4 linked regions of the Saccharomyces cerevisiae S288C genome follow. The protein of the gene in region 3 purifies or fractionates together with the protein of the main gene of each other region. This does not show direct contact. Each region holds a gene or a part of one and is shown on either strand. Other genes may lie near its edges.

What was found.
Region 1: the proteins of ECM2 (region 3) and CLF1 purify together in Saccharomyces cerevisiae (affinity purification with mass spectrometry; 4 studies listed by BioGRID). This does not show direct contact.
Region 2: the proteins of ECM2 (region 3) and PRP19 purify together in Saccharomyces cerevisiae (affinity purification with mass spectrometry; 5 studies listed by BioGRID, with this or other methods). This does not show direct contact.
Region 4: the proteins of ECM2 (region 3) and PRP46 purify together in Saccharomyces cerevisiae (affinity purification with mass spectrometry; 4 studies listed by BioGRID). This does not show direct contact.

The regions. Positions count from the first base shown.
Region 1 is NC_001144.5:381,687-386,658, forward strand, and holds CLF1 (Clf1p), read right to left. Parts: upstream 2,849-4,972; coding exon 785-2,848; downstream 1-784. Other genes in the region: mRNA splicing protein MSL5, read left to right, coding at 1-566; TML25 (palmitoyl-(protein) hydrolase), read right to left, coding at 3,039-3,722; ESCRT-I subunit protein SRN2, read left to right, coding at 3,848-4,489; YPS1 (aspartyl protease), read right to left, coding at 4,825-4,972. UniProt on the Saccharomyces cerevisiae protein: Involved in pre-mRNA splicing and cell cycle progression. Required for the spliceosome assembly by promoting the functional integration of the U4/U6.U5 tri-snRNP particle into the U1-, U2-dependent pre-spliceosome.
Region 2 is NC_001144.5:66,245-70,531, reverse strand, and holds PRP19 (E3 ubiquitin-protein ligase PRP19), read left to right. Parts: upstream 1-2,275; coding exon 2,276-3,787; downstream 3,788-4,287. Other genes in the region: GRC3 (polynucleotide 5'-hydroxyl-kinase), read right to left, coding at 54-1,952; ENT4 (Ent4p), read left to right, coding at 4,014-4,287. UniProt on the Saccharomyces cerevisiae protein: Probable ubiquitin-protein ligase involved in pre-mRNA splicing.
Region 3 is NC_001134.8:368,017-371,659, reverse strand, and holds ECM2 (Pre-mRNA-splicing factor ECM2), read left to right. Parts: upstream 1-1,981; coding exon 1,982-3,076; downstream 3,077-3,643. Other genes in the region: NRG2 (Nrg2p), read left to right, coding at 961-1,623; CNM1 (Cnm1p), read left to right, coding at 3,476-3,643. UniProt on the Saccharomyces cerevisiae protein: Involved in pre-mRNA splicing. Facilitates the cooperative formation of U2/U6 helix II in association with stem II in the spliceosome. Binds to RNA.
Region 4 is NC_001148.4:265,376-269,158, reverse strand, and holds PRP46 (mRNA splicing protein PRP46), read left to right. Parts: upstream 1-1,623; coding exon 1,624-2,979; downstream 2,980-3,783. Other genes in the region: YPL150W (non-specific serine/threonine protein kinase), read right to left, coding at 1-971; peptidylprolyl isomerase RRD2, read right to left, coding at 3,055-3,783. UniProt on the Saccharomyces cerevisiae protein: Involved in pre-mRNA splicing. May also be required for cell cycle progression at G2/M.

The sequences.
Region 1 (4,972 bases), on a different chromosome or scaffold from region 3:
GAAAAATCCCAAATATACAGGGCATTGTTTGCAAAATATGTGGACAAACTGGACATTTCAGTAGAGACTGTAACTCATCGTCTCAAAGAATGAGCCGTTTTGACAGAAACGCCACGGTAAATAATTCTGCGCCAATACAGAGCAATGACGTACACTATAATAGCAATACTCATCCAATTCAAGCACCAAAAAGATCTCGTTATGACAATAACTCGACGGAACCTCCTTTAAAATTTCCGGCTTCTTCACGTTATGCACCATCACCTTCACCTCCTGCGTCACATATTTCGAGGCAAGCTCAAAACGTGACGCCTACACCCCCTCCCGGCCTAACATCAAGTAGCTTTAGTTCCGGAGTTCCAGGAATCGCCCCTCCCCCATTACAAAGCCCTCCAGAGTCGGAACAACCGAAATTTTCGCTACCTCCACCTCCCGGTATGACTACGGTACAATCCTCAATTGCACCTCCTCCTGGCCTAAGCGGTCCTCCAGGGTTTTCTAATAACATGGGCAATGACATTAACAAACCTACACCTCCGGGACTGCAAGGGCCTCCCGGATTATAATACACTCCCATTATACAATATCTGCATTTTTTTTTATTTGTGTTGAAGGTATGTAGTCTCTATTTTGCATAGTTCCTTTTTTTGTTGGTTTTTTGCCTTCCTGGTTATTATTAACTTTTGATATTTAATTTACTTACTAGCTTATTCTACTACTGTTTAGTTTCTACGGCCTGAACTACAATGACAAAAATATTATTTCACGATACCCTTACCTTTATTCAAAGTGCCTGTTCCTGTTTCCATTTTTTGGCTAGTTCCAAGAACTTTGATGGTTTTGGCTTGTCATCATCGATATCATCAGGAAAAATGTAATCCACGAATTCTTCTTCCACACCGTTCTGTAACCTCACTTTTTTGATTACTTTAGGGAATCTTTTCTTGACGGTTTCTTGATCGAGTTCAGTACCGTAAGTTTCTTCATAGTCTTTTAGCGCTTCCAAAATAGACAGTCTCCCTTGTTTATCATCCTTCTCCTTGAAAAAAACTATCGCCTCTTCAAAAACTTTTCTTGCCTCCAATTTATTCTCATCGGTAATTTCAAACTCTATGTCTTCATCCACATTTTCGCTTTGCAGTTTTGCTAAATCTAATAGTTGTTGCTCCGTCGGGGTTGAAGTTTGATACATGGCGAATTCGATCCAGCTTTGGGGGGAATATTGGTTGAGCTCCAAATATCTTCTATAAAGCTTCCTTGCCTTTTCAAATTCTTGTGATTCTGTCTCAAATGTTATGTATTTTTGAAGTAATACAATTTTAGCCTCCTTTGTTAAGAAATCAGAATTTTCATCTAGTGCAATTGTATATATACCTCTTACTCTATCCCAATCTCCTAAATTTTCTTCTAGTTCTCCATATTGTGACCAAATTTGTAGATCAGAGGGCTGAAATTCAATAAATTTCTCATATATTTTTCTCACACGATCAAATTCCTTCAACTTCACTTCCAACTCGATATATCCTTTGAAAGTTTTAGCCTTAGGACATAAACCGATTGCTTTACCCAAAATTTTTCTCGCCTTCGGTACATCATCATGTCGTATCAGAAATTTAGCATACATTAGCCATATTTTGGAAAAAGTGAAATGTTTATGAGGGATGATGTCGTCAATTAACCTCTGAAAAAGTTCTTCTTCTAAAAGCGAATTTTCCAATTCTAACTCAACATAGCATATATATCTCATCCACAGATAAATATACCTTTTCCACTGAACATTTTTTGATAGTTCTTTTGGTCGGCTGTCCACAATAGCTTTCTCGAAAGTTTGCATTATTTGTTTGGGGAAACTTTCTGAAATGAGATCCAAGTACAGCCACCAGGTGTCATAATCATAGGCGTTATTACTCAATATTGTTTCATACTCCATTTTCCTTTTATAGCTAATAGTTTCTTCTATTGAGTTTATGTCACCAAACTGCTTTTCAAAATCCAACAGTCCTGCCTTGAGCAATTGATTGGAGGGCCATTTTTCTATAGCAATTTGATAAAGAGCACTAGATCTTTCGTATTCTTGCTGCGCAGCTTCCCAATGAGCAAATGAATTTACTAATTTTGCAACCTCCATATCAGACCAAATCTGTAAATTTTGGAGGTTAGCTACTGTGTCTATCGCTAAAGAATACACACTTCTCGTAAATTCAGTATTACCATGTCTATTTTCAAACCTCACCCACTTTAGCCATGTCTGCATTTGCGGGTGAGCCATGACGTATTTTGAGTAAATCTCTCTTACACCGTTCCAGTTTTTCTGTCTTATTTCAAAATCCACGAAAGAATTCCATGCATTAACCCCTGGCTCCAAGGAGCACCATTTGGTGTACAGTGATCGTACAATTTCAACGTTGTTTAACGACTCTTCGACAATGAGATACTTGTACCATAACTTGTCTACTCTGGGCAACGTACTAATAGCTCTGTTCATAAGATTCCTAGCATGGTTAATACATTTGACTTTCAGCTCAGCATCAATGTATCGTATCCAAAGGGGGATGAATGAACTATCTACTAATAATGCTCTTTCAAAGATAGATCTGGCGCGCCTCATGTCGTGTTGTTCGATTTCGAATTGCGCATAACGAATCCATTGTCCCATATCCAGTCGGTTTCTCTTCAAATAACCCTCATATTCTGTTCTCTTCCTTCGTTGATACTCTCGAAGTTCCTCCAAGTCTAATATATCAATATTAGTCGATCCTCTTGCTTTTTGCCCCTTCTTGTACACATCCCGCAGAATCTGCTCCGCAGAAACATGCGTATCAACGGCTGTTGGCTCTAAAGTGTCCATGCTGGCAATAGTAGAGTACTTTTAGCTCAAGTTTGTCTATCTATTATGAACTTGCATAATCAATGAGTCTCATCACCCCAACTATTTGGCACCAAGGTTTTTAATTTTCTATCGCGTCTTACGGATGTATATAAATTATTTAACCAAGTATAATAGCGGTTAAATTGAACTCGCAATATTAGGAAAAGAGCTATGATGATAAGCTCTTCTTGATAAATGAAGCCAAGTCTTCTAATTCATCTGGAACTGTAGAATGGGCCATACCTTTGTATACTTTAAATTCATAATTTTGTATCTCACAGCTATCTTGATAGAACTGTTTTGCCTTTATACCTAGTCCAATAGGAACTACTGGATCCATGTCACCATGCCCATGAAAAATTGGTGTCTTTACATTAATGCCATTCTTATGTTGTTTCAGAATTCCTGGGATGGAACAAAATCCCGACAGAGCTACTATACCACCGATTTTCCATGGTAAAGTAACTGATGTTGCGAGAGCTAATGCGGCACCCTGAGAGAAACCTCCGATAATAATCTGCTCCGGTTTAATTCCTTTATCAATTTCTTGCTTAACCGTCTTTTCTATGGAATTCAAAGAATTCATAAAACCGTCACTGTCAACTTTGGAAAAACTAGGATCCCATTCCAAGATGTCAAACCAAGCAGGCATCAATGCACCGCCGTTTGCTGTCACATGAAGCTCTGGAGCATTAGGAAAAACAAAATTAGTATGCTGGAAAGCGGCAGGGTCTCTCTGTTGTAAATACTGAGCTAAAAATCCCCATCCCGAACCTGTATCACCTAATCCATGCAAGAATATGATAGTTTGGCGTGCTGGCTGAATTTTTGCTGCAACTCTAAGTCCATTCATATTCGATAGCGCTCAAATGGGCAAATATAGTGTATGTGTTCTTATTTTCGTTCTCTTTTGCTAACATTTTTATTTCATACAGAAGCCATTTTTCCCTAGAATAGGCGTTCTGAAAAGAAGGAAATATGAAAGTAAAGGCTACAAAACTAAGGATAAAACAACGAAGGAAAAATAAGGGGCTCAATATAAGCAGATTAGATATTATCAGAGCAGAAATGGATGTGGTACCATCTCCGGGTTTACCAGAAAAAGTAAACGAAAAAAGCAAAAATATTCCCTTACCTGAAGGAATTAACCTTTTATCATCAAAGGAGATAATCGATCTAATTCAAACCCACAGACACCAATTAGAGTTATACGTCACAAAATTCAATCCCTTAACGGACTTTGCTGGAAAGATTCATGCATTCAGAGATCAATTTAAACAATTGGAAGAAAATTTTGAAGATTTACATGAGCAAAAAGATAAGGTCCAAGCCTTATTAGAAAACTGTAGGATTTTAGAATCCAAATATGTAGCTAGCTGGCAAGATTACCATTCCGAATTTTCAAAAAAATATGGTGACATAGCATTAAAAAAGAAATTAGAACAAAACACAAAGAAACTTGATGAGGAGAGTTCACAGCTAGAAACTACCACAAGGTCCATTGACTCAGCCGATGACCTGGATCAGTTCATCAAAAATTATCTGGACATACGAACACAATATCACTTGAGGAGAGAGAAACTGGCGACCTGGGATAAACAAGGTAATTTGAAATACTAGTTCAGCAGCTACCGCCATTATCAATATGTACGTATATAGACTATACTTTATAGATTATTCTAGATGCCAAACGAATTATTAGAATATTAAAGCCTTTGATTATAGGCCATATCCCAGGTAAATAGTATACTAGGAATGAGAAAAAAAAATGTGAATAAATGGTAACCTATTCTTAGTGGGTAAGATAAACTATTGTGAAGTAAAAATGAAGACCGCCAACGTAACAATAAAAAATTAATAATAAAAAAAAACTTTGCCCAAGCGAGAGCAACGATTTCCGCCAGAAACTCCAACTGGCTTGGAGATGTGAATGTCTAAACTTTGTGCAACGGTTTTCAGATGAATGCAAAAAGAAGAGAAATTAATGTGAGGGGTAAAGATGGAACTATATGATCACCAACATTTCTTTTACTTGATGTAGAAGTGGCGGATGCAGTACTGGTCGTCAGGTTACCGCTAAAGGAAGCAGTTTGTGAGGAATTT
Region 2 (4,287 bases), on a different chromosome or scaffold from region 3:
TTTGTGTATCCTCTATCTTTCACTATTAAAAAATGTACGATTACCTTTTCTTTCTATCTTTTCATGAATTGGCCACGTCTCATGACGTTCTTACGAACTTTCCACACATGTTCCAATTTTTTCCTTCTTTCAAAAGTTGCGAACGGTATTTGTATATTATCATCCCATGTAATTGTGCGGGGGGATGGAAGAAAGTCACAAAAAGGAGTTTCCGTCTTATTTCTTACTATTATCCATTGAGCATCCTCAGGTTGTTTATCTAAAATCTGGGTATGGCAAGGTGGCACGTAAATGTTCATTATTTGCTGGGAGGTGTCAATAGAGTGTATCAGCCCCAGAGTTATGAAATTTTTAGAAGAAGAAGTACACGATTGTAGGATGGGAAAGGTATTCAAGGATTTCACCTCTAGTGAGTCTTCTCCAGAATATGTATATATCCCAATGACAGTACCTTCCAATGCGGACTTGATATCTTGAGGATTCAGATCCTGGAATTCCATAGGAAATTGAATGCCTTTAATACCGCTTTTACCTTTGCCATATGAAATTTGCAAAGGTGCAGATTTTAAAAGAGGCGCAAAATCATAATCAAATTGAGTTATTTTATGAAACAGTGCCAGTATTTTGAATGTTCTCAGTTGTGATGCATGGAACCTAGAAGATAAGGTGTGGTTCAGACTATGGGCTGGAACGCGAACAACTTCAGGTGCATATGCATCTCGTAGTGATGTGGAAAAACTCTGTGGAATTGTTAGTTCATCCAGGTGTCTTTTCGAATTAGCTGTTTCCAAAAACAATAAGTGAGTGGGCTTATATTTCCTTATTATATGATTTAAAATCTGCATCCCGAATCCTTTTATCCACCCAGGTAGATTAAGCAATGACGTTCCGAAGAAGGCTTGCTCTTCCAAATGGTCTATAAGTTTATCAGCGCAGTTCAGGTATGATGTGGGCTCGTCCTGCGGGGAAGAGGAGCCAGCGTAGAACTGTAACAAAGTTTGGAAATTTGAACCTTGGCAGAGATGTTGTCCGAGAGAAATAGGGCTGGAAAGAATCTTATTCAGGGATATTGAATCAGGTAGTGAGTATTCAGGTTGACCAGGATCTAAATCCAGGTATACCAATTCTTCCTGGCTCGTAGTAGAATCTCGTATATCTTGCGTAAATTTTTCCAATAAAAGCCTCAAGAATGTAGACTTCCCAGAGTTTTTACCACCAATCACCATGATTCTTGTATCATACGCAGCGTTCTTGTGACTCAAATATAACTTCTCTAACGGAGTTGACCAATATCCCGGCACGGATAAAGATTGAATTCGGTCTGACTCATGTAATAAATGATACGTTGTTCTCTCGTTTAATGGAAAGTAAGGTTCTTTAGGTTTCCATAGATAATTAACATCCCGATATAAATGACCTGCTTCTAACAAGCCCGTATGATTAGAATTAAAAACGCGAAGAACACATGGAAATGATTTGAATTCTTCATCTCTAATTTTAAACCTGTTGTTTCTCGGCATAAAAAAAGTGTCTTGCCAGCCTGCAAAGTGCGAAAAATCTATAGTAGGTATGGACTGTGATAACGGGTGCCAGAAGGTTAAAATTTCTCTCGAAGCGTTATAGTGTACATTGTTGTAGACAATACCTCCTTTCACCACTTGCAGCCGGAAAACACCAGATAAATGTAACTTCTGTTTTTCTTTCAACCCCACAAACATAGTTTCATCTTCATCTCCTTCATACGTTATATTATCGATCAATTCAGCATCCAGCCCGTTCAAGTCATCACCTTCGTCGTCCTCATACTCTTCACTATTGAGAACTACGGTTGCACTTTTTGAAGATGGAATTGACGGAGATTCCACAATGAAATTATTACTTGAGTCTGAGTCCGATTCTGAACCTGAATCTTTGGTATATTGAGGTAGATCCTGTTTGGAATCTATCACCATAGCGGTAGAATATAATAGAAATGATTATCTTCTTCTCTCTGCCAAACTAAACTGCAGTCTTTCCTTATTTCAGAAGGGAAAGATCAGGAGTGGGGAACCTATACTACCTGCACTATAAGCGTGAATTAAGACAACTTAAATGCAACCTAAGCCTTAGGCGCAGAGCACTCGATGACTTGGCAGGAATAAATTTCATGTTGATAAATTTCGTACTTTTTCGGGTAGCAGCGGTGAAAAATTCGTAAGGGCAATTTTAGAAAGATGCAAACTTTCCAAGAAATATTAAAGACCAAAACATAGCCAAGAAAGCCAACTAGGGAACAATGCTTTGTGCTATTAGTGGGAAAGTTCCTAGAAGGCCAGTTCTATCACCTAAATCCAGGACTATTTTTGAAAAGTCGCTCCTTGAACAGTATGTTAAAGATACGGGGAATGATCCGATAACAAATGAGCCCTTAAGCATCGAAGAAATAGTGGAAATCGTACCTAGTGCGCAACAAGCCTCACTAACAGAGTCTACAAACTCTGCTACGTTAAAAGCGAATTATTCGATTCCGAATCTGTTGACAAGTTTACAGAATGAATGGGATGCTATAATGCTCGAAAACTTTAAGTTACGATCAACTCTAGATAGTTTAACGAAAAAACTGTCGACTGTAATGTACGAAAGAGATGCTGCAAAGTTGGTCGCTGCGCAACTATTGATGGAAAAAAACGAAGATTCGAAGGATTTACCCAAATCCTCACAGCAAGCGGTAGCTATTACGAGAGAAGAATTTTTACAAGGGCTGTTACAATCTTCTAGAGACTTTGTAGCGAGGGGCAAGCTCAAAGCACCCAAATGGCCGATTTTAAAAAATTTGGAGCTATTACAGGCACAAAATTACTCCCGTAACATCAAAACATTCCCATATAAAGAGCTTAACAAATCTATGTACTATGATAAATGGGTGTGCATGTGTCGCTGTGAGGATGGTGCTTTACATTTTACCCAATTAAAAGATTCGAAAACGATTACCACAATAACTACACCAAATCCCCGTACCGGGGGAGAGCATCCAGCTATTATTTCCAGAGGGCCTTGTAATCGTTTGCTACTACTATATCCAGGTAACCAAATAACTATATTGGACTCAAAAACAAACAAAGTCCTCAGAGAAATAGAGGTAGATTCCGCCAATGAGATTATATATATGTATGGTCACAACGAGGTCAACACAGAGTACTTCATCTGGGCGGATAATAGAGGAACCATAGGATTTCAATCCTACGAGGATGATTCCCAGTATATTGTTCATTCTGCTAAATCAGATGTTGAGTACAGCAGCGGTGTCCTACATAAGGATTCATTATTATTAGCCCTTTACTCTCCGGACGGTATATTAGACGTTTACAACTTGTCATCACCTGACCAGGCAAGCTCTAGATTCCCCGTAGATGAAGAAGCCAAGATAAAAGAGGTTAAATTTGCAGACAATGGGTACTGGATGGTAGTAGAGTGTGACCAAACTGTGGTTTGCTTTGACCTAAGAAAGGATGTCGGCACGCTAGCGTATCCAACTTACACAATCCCAGAATTCAAGACGGGCACCGTTACCTATGACATTGACGACTCTGGAAAGAATATGATTGCATACTCAAACGAGAGCAATTCGCTGACGATATACAAATTTGACAAGAAAACAAAAAATTGGACTAAAGACGAGGAGAGCGCCCTCTGTTTGCAAAGCGACACTGCCGATTTCACTGATATGGACGTGGTATGCGGAGATGGTGGTATTGCCGCTATTCTGAAGACAAATGATAGTTTCAATATTGTTGCATTGACACCCTAAATACGCTGACACGTTTGTACTTTCTAAATAAACCTGTGTAATAGTAGTAACATTTCCAGTAAAAATTTCATTTCCTTCTCTTTTTACATCTCTAGGACAACGCTTTAGTGAGAAAAAAAAAAAAAGAAAAAAGAATGAGAAAACGAAAATTGAGGTTATGTGTTGAATAAGCCTAGAAAGCATAAAGGTGTCAAAGAACGAGTACACATATAGTGAGGGGGTCGTGATGCCTTTGTTAGATACCTTCAAGAGTTTTATTCAATCACCGACGGAATCAAAGGTGAAACAGGCTACCAACGAGGACGAAACAAGTGGAGCAACGGGGACGCTTATGAACGAAATATCAATCTTGACCTACAGCCCCAAGACAGTACGAGAAATCATCCAGGTAATCCGGAAGCGATTGCTACTTGGGCAGAACAGAAGAAATTCTCATCGAAATTGTATCCAGGTGATGAAGACGCTGACTTTGGTCTCATATCTGATGAATAACGGGTCCA
Region 3 (3,643 bases):
CACCGGCTGGCTTACAACCAACCAACATAAGATCAAACAACCCTCAAGTTTAGAAAATGCCTTAATAGCAACCTCTAAAACCATAGACTTCTCCATTTTCACGTGCTAAAAAAGTTCGGGTATGATGTCATACAAATCCTTTCAACAAAAGATGCTTCAAGATCAATGGCACTCGAGATCATAAATCCCTGCAGAGCAGCGGCTCTGCATATAGAATAACAAACAAATCGTATTTTTCCCGAAGCCAAGAAAAAAAGGAGACTATAACCTTTCAAGCCAGACGGAAAACTATCTGCCCAAGGACAAACTGGCATGGGCTGCTTCAATGTTCGGCTACCTTTTTTCTCTTTTAACGGGGTTTGGTATTTTTTTTCTTTACTTCATAAACGAATGTTAAACGACTGTGAAAAAGCCATCCCTGGATTATGCGAGAGTACTCTCAGGGCACCCGTCCGTTTAAAGACCCCAGGCCAAAATAAAAATTTCTTGAAGGAAAAAAATACACAGGGCCTTGAACTGAATACAAAGCCATCTTTTTTCTCGTTTGTCAGCACGTCCCAGAAAAACGCGCAGCCGTAGCTCTTGATAAGTGGCTTCTGCGTTTTGCAACGCTTTTCTGATCTCATGTTTTCTTATGCTGCGGGACATCATTGTCGTTGAGAAAAGTTTCAATTTCAAACGAACTGCCTACCGTTGCATTCTCCTTGGAGAAGGGCCTGAGTTTAGGGGAATCACGTCTGGCTATTACATGCTACATCGTGCAGTAGCTCCTACATCGCTAACAGGCAAATCCTACACCCTCTTTAAATCGTTTATCTTTTATATATTATCTGGCCTAAATTTTTACATATAAATATTTATCATATTATGACAGCTCAAATGAATTTCCGGCACCAAGTCATATGAGCACTCGCTACTGTTCGAAGAACAAAAAATATAAAGCTTCTACAAAATTTCCAGATGTCCATAGGTTACAAAGACAACTTGATGTCAACTATTCTAGCTAAAGATAGGAAATGTGAATTTCCCATCAATTTCGAATGTTCGCCCTCCCAGATAACTCTTATGCCTGAAATGTTCTCTTTTAACAATGAAAGGAAATACCAAACCCTGATACCCTTGATGAAAACATCACATCTAATTGATGATGACTTGAAAGATAAATTGAATAAGTGCGCTTTCGATTTTTTCTCCGGAAAACAAGCGAACAGAACGAGTGACGGGACTATTTCAAGATTAACAGCAAGTGGAAAAACGTCACCGATACTGCCATTGCAAAATATTAATATTGTAAAAGCAGAGAATACCGGTAACGGTAAATCAGATCCATATAGCTCAATTAAAATAAGCAAACCGACAAAAACCGTGATAAAATTGAAATCTACGAAAACCAATACAGCAGGACAGAGGACTCGTCATTTCTGTAAGATCTGCTCTACTGGGTTCACCACTTCTGGTCATCTTTCAAGACATAACAGAATCCATACAGGTGAAAAAAATCATATCTGTCCGCATGAGGGCTGTGGACAGAGGTTTAGTAGACATGATAACTGTAATCAGCATTATCGAACTCATGCAAACAAGAAGAAAAGAAACTGGAAGAGGAGGGAGGCTAGCAGTTGATGTGAGTGAGCTCAGCCAAAAACATTTAAATATTCAAATAACGTACAAATAAAAGACTGATAAATAGTAATAAAACTAAGCGGGTTAGTAATACTCACCAAGAACAATAGCAGGAACGATAGTCGGTTCTCTTTCGTAATTTTTTTAAGTCACAACCCGGAGGGACGTGAAGTTTCAAACCTTATTCATTCCGGGATTACCCTCTCCTGTGATGACGTTTAGGCAATAAGGACTAAAAAAAAAAAAAAGAAATGCTATGGCAAATTTTATTGATAGAAGTGGTAATGATGATGGAAGGGCTTTTGAGCAGGTGAATAGAAGGTAGCTAACGGAAAAGAGTTATTGCACCCTTAATATAATGAATGATGAAATTAATGAGCCACCGCCCAATATATGTGAGCAGTGCTTAGGTGATGAGGCTAATATACGAATGACTAAAATTCCACAAGGCTCTGAATGTAAGATTTGTACCTTACCGTTCACCTTATACCATTTTAAGACGTCTAAACGAAGCAATAATATCATTAAAACATTAATATGTGTACGGTGCGCCACTCAGAGAAACATTTGTCAATGCTGTATGCTTGATTCAAGATGGCACATCCCTATACAACTGCGGGATCATTTAATATCCCTTGTGAACGAGGAAAACGTTATGACGGAGGAAGCAAAAAACGACATGATGAAAAGGTTTCTGTCACTAAAAAACGTGAAATTAGGAGGAGCTCAGATTACGAGTGATCCGTCAGAAGCAGATAATATCGTTGATAAATTGAAAAATATACTTCTGCGAGCAACATCAGATGGCCCAAGTACTCCGTTAATAAAAAACACAACTGCATTGTATAAAAATGAAAAAGGTGCAAATGAGGTCAAAAACTTGGAAAAGTACGCGTCCGTGGACATTTCTCATATTTTGAAGAAACTACCCTTGAATGAATCGTTTTTAAAAAACCCCTCCACCAAATCATTTTTTCTGTATAATATTGATGCCTCGATCCCTGAATGGAAAATAACTGATACAGTTTCGCAATTATTGGGTATAAAGAAATGGAAGGATGGAAATTCATTGTCATTAATAGTCAACCACAAGGCGAAGTGTGGTGGCCTAAGATTTCAATCTAGTGAATTGGGGGAGCGGTTTGTCAGTAAAATAAGTGAGACACTTGTCACACCAAAGGGCCTAAAGAGAGGAGTTTTACTTATTGACCGTTTTAGAATCTTTATCATTCCGTGGTCGTCTGGCTTTTCAGCTGCGTCATTCGGAACCAACACTGCAGAAAATATAAAACTTAGTTTAAGTTTGAATAAGCTTATTCAGTTGGAGCTAGGGCTTTCTTTTCCTACAAAAAGCACAGATAACGCAAAGAATGACAAGAAAAAGACATCAAAAAAAGTTCATAAGGACAGATCAAAGAAATCGAAACCTCGCGCTAACAAGTTAACAATATAGATGAAACGTAAGAAAAATCATGGGTTGAAGAAACGAACTGTTTGATCAATTTCGACCATCCATCTACCTTGCAAGTAATAAACAAAAGCAGGTTGAGTGGGGAACTTTATCTAAGTTGATCAGTATATCTGACAAATTTATACGGAATGCTGCAGTTTGGATTAGCACGAACATTTTATCTGTACGGTTTGTCGCTTTTAGCTGCTCGGGCTCTTCCTCTCGGTTACCGAGATGATAACTCGGCCGAATTTTGTAAGTACAAATAAAAAGAAAGTGACACAATTCTAAAAGTATCACTATAATTTATTATTTTGAGAAAGATAAGGTTCCATAGGTACATGATATATTGACTGATTTCTGATAGCTCTTTTTTTTCCAATATCGATAAAAAACTAAAATATGGAGGAACTAGGTTTAAAAAGCACTTTTCCATATGAATATGGCTCAGACTTTACAATGATAAGAACGGAAATGTTAAATACTACGAAGAGCGAAACAACTATTTTATTTTCCAATATAAAGAGCATTTTGGCCATTATTTGGAAATACTCATTTACATTTTTAAGA
Region 4 (3,783 bases), on a different chromosome or scaffold from region 3:
AGACGCTTCAGCAATCGCCTTTCTAATTTACTTTTAAACTGAGTCCCTCCACTGCGCTGTCTGCACAAAATTTTCTGAGTCTGATCTAAAACCACTGAACCGTAAGGCTGTAAAAAAGGGTGGCGTAAAACTTGTGACAACGATGGGCGCTCTCCCGGATTTTTAGCCAATAATCGTGAGATCAAATCCCTAGCATCGTCCGGAATAACTTTAGCATCGTATTTCGGTTCTTCATTGACGATTTTCCATTTCGTTTTAGCCTCATCGTCATCATCAAATGGCAAATATCCCGTAATTAATGTGTATAGTATCACTCCCAATGACCATATATCAATCTTGAATCCATCATAAGTCCTTCTTTCTATCAATTCAGGTGCCATATAAACTGTGGTACCGCAAACCGTTTCTAATGTCGTCTTTGTCATACATTCTCTCGTAAAACCAAAATCCGTCAATTTTGCATTTCCATTTTTGTCTAATAAAATATTCTCTAACTTCAAATCTCTATGAACACAATGCATTGAGTGTGCATAGTAAACAGCACCTGAAATTTGTGCAAACAACTCTCCGCATTCCAATAACGATATTCTACGCAGAGAAAGTAAGTGGTCATATAATTCCTTCCCTGGGCAATATTCTAATGCCATCCACACTTTTGATTCTGTCACTATCACTTCATAAAGCTTTGTAATATAAGGAAAATCGAACTGTCTATGGTAAAATACCTCTCTAACGATATTGGGATCATTCTTATCACTCGTCTTTAGGCAGACTTTACGATGTGTTGGTCTATGGAGCGCTAAATATACTTTTCCAAAACTTCCTTCACCTATTTGTTTTAAAATCTTGTAGTTTCCCACTTCTGTCAACTCATCAGAAGTAAATTGGCTGTATAGTCGATTGTACGATGATCCTATAATGCTTTTTATATTGTTTTGTTCCAATTTCGAGGATCCAACAGGATTAACCATGGTGAGCAGTATATTCACCTATATGTGGGTCTTTTATTGTCTCTTGGCAACGGATAAGGAGAACTTGCTTCCACTACACAGTGACTAGTTATTAATGAAAAACGAAACAAAATTTATTGATACAAAAAATAGTATTCGGATAACGAAACTCTTGTTGACTTCAAAATACAGGTATTGGAATTTTCGTAATGATTCGGAATGATATGAGGGAAAAAACGTTACTTTATTTAATTCATACAAGATATTTATTGTATACCGTTATTGATAAGTGTTCTGTTGTCAAGATTGGGAGGGTCCACGCGGTCAACATTGTTAAGATAAGCCGAAAATCACCACACAAATCCACGATGACCTAAGAACATTCGTTCGCTTAAATCACCTATAGTCACAATAAAGTAGCATTCAATGTGACAAGAGGAGCTATCTACTTTCAGAGAATTACTCCTCATCTCGTATTCCTATTTCGAGTTCAACAACTCTTTTATTAAGTAAGGGTGCTCAAAATTCTTCATCATCTAATACGGAAAAGCTACAATTTTGGCAATAAAAGATTATTCAAGATGTGAAGCTAACAGTAATTATTACCCACTTCATTGCATCTTAAAACCATTTCCGAGGATGCAGACACTGTGTTACATGGAGATTAGTGAGAATGGACGGAAATGATCACAAAGTCGAAAATTTAGGAGATGTAGACAAATTTTATTCCAGAATACGCTGGAATAACCAATTTTCATATATGGCCACTCTGCCGCCCCACCTACAAAGCGAAATGGAAGGTCAGAAATCATTGCTAATGCGATATGATACTTATAGGAAGGAAAGTTCTTCTTTTAGTGGTGAAGGCAAGAAAGTTACTCTGCAGCATGTTCCTACAGATTTTTCAGAAGCATCACAAGCAGTGATTAGCAAGAAAGATCACGATACGCATGCATCTGCTTTTGTGAATAAAATTTTCCAACCAGAGGTTGCTGAAGAACTTATAGTTAATCGATACGAAAAACTTCTGTCACAAAGGCCGGAATGGCATGCACCCTGGAAACTTTCACGCGTTATCAATGGCCATCTTGGATGGGTACGATGCGTTGCAATCGATCCTGTTGACAACGAATGGTTCATCACCGGAAGTAATGATACGACAATGAAAGTTTGGGATCTTGCAACAGGAAAATTAAAAACTACCTTAGCAGGGCATGTAATGACAGTGAGAGACGTTGCTGTGTCAGATCGACATCCTTATTTATTTTCTGTTAGTGAAGATAAGACGGTCAAATGCTGGGACCTAGAGAAAAACCAAATTATTAGAGATTACTATGGACATTTATCGGGGGTTCGTACGGTGAGCATACATCCAACGCTGGATCTCATAGCTACCGCAGGCCGAGATAGCGTTATCAAACTCTGGGATATGAGAACCAGAATACCTGTTATTACACTAGTTGGGCATAAGGGTCCAATCAATCAAGTACAGTGTACTCCAGTAGACCCTCAAGTGGTGAGTTCATCGACTGATGCTACGGTAAGGTTATGGGATGTAGTTGCTGGGAAAACAATGAAAGTTCTAACACATCATAAGAGGTCTGTGAGAGCTACAGCGTTGCATCCTAAGGAGTTTTCGGTGGCTTCTGCGTGTACTGATGACATCAGATCATGGGGATTAGCAGAGGGGTCTTTACTCACCAATTTTGAGTCTGAAAAGACAGGCATAATCAATACTTTAAGCATTAATCAAGATGATGTATTATTCGCTGGCGGTGACAATGGTGTGCTTTCCTTTTATGATTATAAGTCTGGTCACAAATACCAATCGTTGGCCACGAGAGAAATGGTAGGCTCTCTGGAAGGTGAACGGAGTGTTCTTTGTAGCACTTTCGATAAAACAGGTTTAAGATTAATCACTGGAGAAGCAGACAAAAGCATAAAGATTTGGAAACAGGATGAGACGGCTACAAAAGAGTCAGAACCGGGGCTAGCGTGGAACCCCAACTTAAGCGCCAAAAGATTTTAGTGGGAGTAGATGGAAAAAGTACGTACCCTGTATACGTGTATATACAATGAGATAGCATCTATAAATGGACTTTTCCTAATCAAAAGGTATTGGTTTATGATGTTTTTTATTCATCTCAGTAGCCGCAATAGCGCTCGGTAACTTTATACCACAGCAGTCTCCCCAAGTAGTATGAACATGTCCTTCAAAATTGCACTCATCATCCTTATCAGTCCCATCATGTATGTGGCCTCTTGGTGGAGATACACCATCCGGACAAGGCAAAAACTCGCTAAAGTAAAAATGTTGCATGATGGGCAATTTACTAAGGACTTCGGCTTTATACATTTTTATCATCCCTTCAGCAACTTTTGACCAAGTCTTTACACCGCTGATGTCATCTAGCATAGGAGAATGCCATCTCAAGGAGGCGGATGACTTGACCTTATTAATAAAAGCGATACAACCAAAATATAAGTACCGATGAGCGAACATTTCTACGAGCTCATTATTGTGAATTGATATCGGCTTTAAGTGCTTGTGGGTGGTTAATTGGAAGGCACCAAATAGAAATGGAAGGAAATGATAATCATCTAATCCCCAAACACCATGAGAGCCCGCAGGCTCAAGCCAATATTTAGTTTCTAGTATCCTCATTATTTTAAGGTATTCTATAAAAACTTTCAGCACGAGGTTAGTTGAATCGTTTGAAAGATTGAATATTCCATAACTATAGAGTCCATAAAGTAAACACATGAAATTTAATTCATGACCTGAACCATAATCAATTCTTCTTTTATTTCCCCATGATTCATCTAGATAAAT